Cricetulus griseus: one gene and its partner. The protein of the gene in region 1 interacts with the protein of each later gene in a biochemical or structural test. Links are inferred from orthologs where the notes say so. Each region holds a gene or a part of one and is shown in the gene's direction. Other genes may lie near its edges.

Region 1 (4,108 bases):
TTAGGGAGAGACTTCTATCAAAAGTAGAGAGTGAGCGGGCTGGAGAGATGGCTCAGAGGTTAAGAGCACCGACTGCTCTTCCAGAGGTCCTGGGTTCAGTTCCTGCAACCACATGTTGGCTCACAACCATCTATAATGAGATCTGGTGCCTTCTTCTAGTGTGCAGATATACATGGAAGCAGAATGTTGTATACATAATAAATAAAATCTTTAAAAAAAAAATAGAGAGTGAGCAAGACACCTGGTATCAAGACACTTTGATACATGCACATGCACCTGAACGCATTGATGCACACAACCACAGTAATAGTACCTAATAGCACACACAATGCTCAAATCAATCATAGTGAATCTAACTAAAGTACCACAGTACACAAGTTTTTATACCTATATGATAATTGCAATCTCAAATTTAAAGTGCTAGTTATTGCTCATTATTATAATGATTCTTAAATTCCTCTGATAGACAAAGAGGTACAGCACTCTGAAGAATAGATTACTACCTCTGAGTTTTTCACTAACCCGGGGAAGCATTTCCAAGGCACATTCTCAAGTAGATAGAAAGCTTCCTGCAGTCATCATGGCGTCTGGGCATATGAAAGTAGCTAAAACCAGGGTTGTTCAATTTATAATCTATATCTAGGGATTTGAAAATAGGAAGCCATTAAAATAATAGTGGTAAGTGTTGTTATGGACAGTGTTTTATGAGGAGAAAGTAAAAATTACATAATTGCTCATGTTAATGTAATTATTAATGTGTGTTCATGTTTGTGTACAAAGATCGTTGTGAAGTTATAGGTAGTTTTTCTTCTATTTAAGGTTTTCTAATAAGTTATTTAACCTATTCTTAATAGGCCATGTCTTTTTAAAAATACTTTGATTTTTCATAACCATTCCCTGTATATCATCTGTAGGTTGTACAGACAGCCTTGTCTGAAACTCAGGACCCAGAAGAGGTGTCAGTAACTGTGAAGGCTTTTATGACAGCAGATCTTCCTAATGAACTCATTGAACTGCTGGAGAAAATTGTCCTTGATAACTCTGTATTCAGTGAACACAGGTACGCTGGCAGAGGATTGCACCAGCTTTCTGCTGTCTTTGATTGCAGCCAGTCAGTTTGGGGAGGCAGTTTTCTGAATTGTTACTCCTTGATACTCTGACCTCTTCCTACGCTTTCCCCTGAGACAGATCACCCTCCAGTGCCGTAGTGTTTATTCCTTATCACTGATGGGCTTTATGAACTTTGTGGTTCAATGTCTTGGTTTCTAAAGGAATCTGCAAAACCTCCTCATCCTCACTGCAATTAAGGCTGACCGAACACGTGTTATGGAGTATATTAACCGCCTGGATAATTATGATGCTCCAGATATTGCCAATATTGCCATCAGCAATGAGCTGTTTGAAGAAGCATTTGCTATTTTCCGGAAGTTTGATGTCAATACTTCAGCTGTTCAGGTAATCTTGAAATTAGATAAATTGAGATAATGACTTTGTGTAAAGAATGCATTGCCTTATGATGGCATGCACAGATTGCTGTCACAATAGAATAATCACAAAAATGCTATAGGTAATAATGAATAAGATCCATTTTACTGTAACACCAATTCAAAAATGTTGCCCAGGTCTTAATTGAACATATTGGAAACTTGGATCGTGCATATGAGTTTGCTGAACGCTGCAATGAACCTGCTGTTTGGAGTCAACTTGCAAAAGCTCAGTTGCAGAAAGGAATGGTGAAGGAAGCCATTGATTCATACATCAAAGCAGATGATCCTTCATCCTACATGGAAGTTGTTCAGGCTGCCAATACTAGTGGTATGACTTCTAATCTTTATGCCTTTGAGATCTTAGAAAATTGCTAAGCCAAGCATTTGGATATCTTAACGTTTAATTGTGTGAAAGTTAGATGCTTCTTTATTACTTATGAAAGCTTTTAGCCCAGCATGTTGACCCAGCTAAAGTCTGACTGCATTGTGTGAATTTAGAAGGTCCCCAGAGGTTAATTTTGTATTGAAGTCTAATAAAATCCTGATAGAACTCTGATATGTAACTTTAAAGGAAGCATGTAGGGAAGGTATCAAATATTCTTTGGGTCAATAATACAGAAGTATAGTGGAATTTTTATACTTTCAGGTATATTCATTTTTATGTGTTATTCTATGTGATGTTTCTTTGTAAAGGGAGTTAAGTTGCTGAAGTGATGTACACTTGCCATCCTAGCACTTGGGAAGTTGAGGCAGGAGGCCTTAGGTTCATGGACAGCCTGGGCATCATAATAATCATTGTGTGTGTGTTTGTGGAATGCTTGTGTGTAGGTACATGAAAGGCCAGAGGACAGGCTCTGTTTTCCCCCTTAAGGCACTATCCACTTAAAAAAAAAAAAAAAAAAAAAAAAGGTCTCTTGTTGGTCTGGGTATCACTAAGCAATTTGGGCCAGCAAGCATAAGCATATAGCAAAATCCACAAGCATAAGCATATAGCAAAATCCACTCTCAAAAAAATAAATTAATAATAATTGTAGTTGACGGTGGCGGGGGGCGGGGGGGCGCCGACACACTAATAGCAGATCTTATATATTTGGTTGAGATATAAAATAAGGATGCTAATCTATGGGCTTATTTGTCTCTTTATTTAGGAAACTGGGAAGAACTGGTGAAGTATTTGCAAATGGCCCGAAAGAAGGCTCGAGAATCCTATGTTGAAACAGAATTGATATTTGCGCTGGCTAAAACAAATCGCCTTGCAGAATTAGAAGAGTTCATCAATGGGCCAAATAATGCTCATATTCAGCAAGTGGGTTTCCTGTTTAAATATGTGTGTATGTTTAGTGGGATGCTTGTATATAGGTGCATGCAGAGGCCAGAGGCCAAGCTCTGTTTTTACCACTCAGGCACTATCTGCTTAAAAAACACAGACAGGGTTTATTGTTGGCCTGGGTGTCAAAAGGTAATTTAGGCCAGCTGGCCAGCATGTATAAAGGATTGGTTTGTCACTGCATCAGTGCATACTATCATACTTGGCTTTTTATGTGGGTGGTGGGTATTGAACTGGGTCCTAATGTTTGCAAGTACCTTTCAACTGAATTATCTCACTGGCTCCACATTTTAAACATATGTCAAACTCAAGGAGTAAGCAATTTTATCATTTTGGAAGAATCAACACATTAGTGCTAAGAAATTAAATTATCCTTAGAGGCAGAGTGTGTGTGTGTGTTCATTCATTTTGTTTGTAATTTTGGAGATGGAATCTCTCAGGTGGCCTTGAACTTGGGGTGCTCCTGACTCAACTTCTTGGGTACTGGATTACAGCATATGCAATGTCCCTATCTATTCCTCAGTGTAAAAATATTAACTTGAAAAAGGGATTGAACTGAGACCTCTATTTTACTGATCATGGATTACCTTTTCCCCACTAGGTTGGTGACCGTTGTTATGATGAAAAAATGTATGATGCTGCTAAGCTGTTGTACAATAATGTTTCTAACTTTGGACGCTTGGCATCTACCCTTGTTCACCTTGGTGAATATCAGGCAGCAGTTGATGGTGCTAGAAAAGCTAATAGTACTCGAACATGGAAGGAGGTAATCTAAATCCAAGTTTGAATGATGACTTAAGATTCTGTTTGAAAATTCTGTTTGTACTGTTGAGTTGAAATAACTGTCTGCATTTATATTTGGATTCTCATAGTGGAAAATTATATTCTAGGTCTGCTTTGCCTGTGTAGATGGGAAAGAATTCCGTCTTGCTCAGATGTGTGGACTTCATATTGTAGTACATGCAGATGAATTAGAGGAACTTATCAACTACTATCAGGTAACGAACACCAGACCTTTATATGGATTGAGATCTTTGTATAGATATTCTGTCCTCTAATTGCACATTTCCCTTGTTTAGGATCGTGGATATTTTGAAGAACTCATTACCATGTTGGAGGCAGCCTTGGGACTAGAACGAGCTCACATGGGAATGTTTACCGAACTAGCTATTTTGTATTCTAAATTCAAGCCACAGAAAATGAGGGAACACCTGGAGTTGTTCTGGTCGAGAGTGAATATTCCTAAGGTAACAATCTTCACCACTGTAAGGCAGCTCTAATCATTTAGGCTGAT
Region 2 (3,804 bases), about 3.8 Mb from region 1:
TGATTTTATTTTTCAGGGGTAAATGAGATAATGCATATTACAAACAAATAACACAGTGGCATATTGACACTCATTACATTTTTGTGTGTGATGCTAGGATTGAACTTGGGACTCTGTCCTGGTAGTCTAGTGCTCTATCACTGAATTATACTCCTGATATTTCCCACACTGAATCACCATTTTTCCATCCTCATTCATGTTCCATTTAGACTTTAAAAATCACAAAGGTTTTCACTCTTTTTCTCCCCCGTGCCAACACTGAGGCAAGAGAATCAGGAAGAGAAAGCCAGCAGCTGTACTGTGGTGGTTCCTTTCTCCTTTACAGTCTCACATTCACTGCCTCTTAGGGACGGCAAGTTTTTGTAAGAAAACATGGCAGTGAGCCCCGTCACCATGCTCTTAGTACTGGACAGACTCACAGTCCTTGCCCTTTCCTGTGACATAAATCTCTGTAAGCAGAAAAATGTCCAAGGGTAACCCCGTGGTTTTCAGTCTTTGAGCTGATGTCTGGTTTTCATTTGGGACAATTCTGTTGCCAACCGTAAGACACTGGTTAAAGGCCCTCTCCAAGGAGGAACTTTTGTTTATTTGTTCTACATCAGGCATTTGGATTGCTTGTGTTGACTCTGCTCTGAACAGCATGTACCACGGTGACCGTGGTCCTTGAATTCTGAGAGAGAGAAAGGGGGCTCCTAGAAAAGATGCTTACCAGTTTTGTTTTTCTGCCACGAGCTCCATGGTTTGAGCAGCACAGATTTATTATTATTAGGTTATAAACTCATTTCTCCAGGTTGGGAGATGCAAGTGTCTGTCTCTGGACTGGACTCCAGATGGCAGCAGGGCTGCCTTTCATTTTGGAGGTCCCAAAGGAGACGCCATCTCCTTACCTTTGCAGCCAATAAAGGCTGCCCGCTTTCCTTGGCCCATGACCTCTTTATTCCATCTTCAGTGCCAATACCTGCTTTAGAAAGGCCCCCATCTTAACACTCTTCCTGCTTCTTCTAAACCCTTCTTCTCAAGTACTGTTTTTATGACTACAGTGAGCGTGTCTCTTATATCCAAGAAAATCCCCTAGCCAAGGTAAACTTGCTAGCTGACATCATTCCCTCTGCAGTCTTCAGTCCCCCCAGTTTCAATCTAGCCTATAATAGTCACTAAGTGAAGTAGAACATGGGTATCATTAGAGGAGAACACTATTCTCCTTCTTCTAACAGTCTGGCCTCCAAGTCTCCAAAGGTTTACCTCCATCCTACCTGCAAAATATTTCCATCACTCCATTTAGAAGCATCTAGAACAGTGGTTTTCAACATTCCTACTGCTGCCTCCCTTTAATATAATTCCTCCTGTTGTGTTGACCCCCAGCCTTAAAATTATTTTTTTTTGTTGCTACTTCAGAACTGTCATTTTGCTACTGTTATGAATCGTAATGTATTTTTGGAGATAGAAGTTTGCCAAAGGGATCCCAATCCACAGGTTGAGAATCGCTGGTTTAAAAACTGAGCGTGTTCAGATACACAAGTGTTTAGGCTTTTGGAGTCAGTGTTCAGATACAGAAGTGTTTAGGCTTTTGGAGTCAGTGTTCAGGTACAGAAGTGTTTAGGTTTTTTGAATTCAATGTGATGATGGTACTACCATAAGTTTCTGAAGCCATTTTCAATTTGTAAGCCAACTCCACATTTACTGCCTATATATCATCTATCACTCCATAGCTATGTGATTTTGCCTCTCTGAAGAAATGGCTCAAATGAGATTCCCATTTAGTGGATGGAACACTGAGGTTCAGTCAGATTCACAGGCATATAGGGAGTAGGGAGTAATGTGGTCTTCTTCAGCTTCACTGGTTTTTACACTCCCACTGTTCTAACTGCTTCCCTTTTACCTTGGTGGACAAGCAATGGGAAATGAAGCCCAAACTGTAAAAGATCAGTCTTTTTTTTTTTCCGGATCAAGTATTTAAAGATGCTACACTGAACACTGGACTACTTTTCATGCACTTGAATATTTTCTGTTAAGTTAATCCTTTGGCTGTTGTATACATACATAAAATTCACCCTGGTTACTCTTTCCCTCAGCCCTGTCTTTCTCTCCACTCGATCTATTAATCCTCCCATGCATACACACACACACACACACACACACACACACACACACACACACACACACACAGTACCTTTCCAAACTCATGATTTTGTTTATTTGTTTGTTTGTTTGTTTGTTTAGTTGAGCAACCCATTTAGTTTAATCAGGGCCATCTATGCAGCTGTTGGTTTGATTTCATGAAATTATTTATAATGGTGAAGTAAAGAACAACCTTATATTTGAAAATAAGAACTGGTGAGGGTGTTGTTGATTATTATGGTTAAAACATTATAGGCATTAGAAATTACAGTTCTAAGTGACTAGAAAAATACAACACAGTGGAAGTAGAATACAGAATTGCATAAAGTATAATTTCCACTAAGTTTAAAAGTAGCTAGACACAATAGCACATGCCTATAACTCTAGCACTCCAGACTCAGGCAAGACGATCATAGGTCTGCCCTGTGCTACATAGCAAAACACTATCTTAAAGTAAGTAAATTAATATAGAAATTAAGTCACTTAGAGAATACACAAACTGCTCATATTACTAGTAGTGCTAATTTCTAGAACAGAGGATTTATTAAGTTTTCTAAACTTTTCTATTTCCTCACAGTGTTTTCTAAGAAGGTTGGTACTCTATTAGCTAGAAGAAAGGGTTTTGGTGGCTGTGTTGTGGTACTGGGGACTGAATACAGATCTTTAAACTCTGTCACTAAGCCATATTCCCACCCCTAGAAGAGAGTTAGTTACTAAAGGTATTTTCCCTAGGATTGGAGAGGGGTGAGGCTTGGCATCACTACAGCAACTATCTGTGCATTTACTAATGCTAGGTTTTCTTTGATAAATGATGTTGCACTTTGCTGATTTAAACAGGTTCACTCGAAACCAACAAAGGCTTTTGGAACAGAATAGGAACTCGAAGGACGCCACCGATGTAAGTGATTAGAAATGGCATAACGTAAACGATCAAGTATCTTATTAATTATCCTTCAGGAAGCAAAGAATCCCTAGAAACAGTTCTTTAAAAGAGGAAGCACACAGTGACAACCTGCCACGGCTTTGGCCATGTGGTTTCCATCTTAAGTTGTGAGACGGGTCTCTAATTAAGGAAGGACTCATGTGCTTAGTGAGATGGAATTTGAGCTGTCATGGTCTGAAGTTTTCCTCAGAAAATTTCCAAAGGAATGGGTGTAGAGAGAGCCAGAAGAAGTTGCATGATTTCCCCCCTAAATTGTCTCTGCTTTGTTTTCAGACTTCCAACGAGCCCTCTGCTCCTTCCTGCGATCTTCTTGATCTTAGTCCCATCGTGCCAATGCCTATGTCCAATGGGGAAGCACTCCACACCGTCAATTCTCAGCTTTCAGCCTTAAGTAAATAAGCCACTGGGCCTTCTCTCACCAGTGTCAAGCCTGATAGGAGATAGTTGTCCTTGGTTTCCTAGTTGAATGCCTCTGGAGAGGGACAGACGTCAGTCTGACTATCAGAGATGTAATCACTTCCCTGCAAAATGGTTGGGTTAGATTCAGCAAACAAATGGGGTGTGTGGGGGAGGGTTTTGGAACTCGTCCCAATCGCTTAGAATCCCATGAAGTTTACCTGACCTGCACAGGTTTTGCTCCTTGATAGCCAATACTTAAATCTCCTCTAGACATAGACTATTATTGTTAGATTTCTCTGCTGTACCACAGCTCAAAGGAGGGAATAACTGATGCGGACAAAGGA

What was found. The genes of interacting proteins can lie anywhere in the genome.
Region 2: the proteins of Cltc (region 1) and Tom1l1 form a complex in vitro, tested with the Homo sapiens proteins (2 studies listed by BioGRID and IntAct). The link is inferred for Cricetulus griseus from reciprocal best matches to the Homo sapiens genes CLTC and TOM1L1.

The regions. Positions count from the first base shown.
Region 1 is NC_048600.1:99,945,729-99,949,836, reverse strand, and holds part of Cltc (clathrin heavy chain 1), read left to right. Parts: intron 1-914; coding exon 915-1,060; intron 1,061-1,271; coding exon 1,272-1,455; intron 1,456-1,622; coding exon 1,623-1,815; intron 1,816-2,635; coding exon 2,636-2,793; intron 2,794-3,415; coding exon 3,416-3,580; intron 3,581-3,704; coding exon 3,705-3,812; intron 3,813-3,893; coding exon 3,894-4,061; intron 4,062-4,108. UniProt on the Homo sapiens protein: Clathrin is the major protein of the polyhedral coat of coated pits and vesicles. Two different adapter protein complexes link the clathrin lattice either to the plasma membrane or to the trans-Golgi network.
Region 2 is NC_048600.1:103,763,298-103,767,101, reverse strand, and holds part of Tom1l1 (TOM1-like protein 1), read left to right. Parts: intron 1-2,955; coding exon 2,956-3,016; intron 3,017-3,334; coding exon 3,335-3,452; intron 3,453-3,804. UniProt on the Homo sapiens protein: Probable adapter protein involved in signaling pathways. Interacts with the SH2 and SH3 domains of various signaling proteins when it is phosphorylated. May promote FYN activation, possibly by disrupting intramolecular SH3-dependent interactions.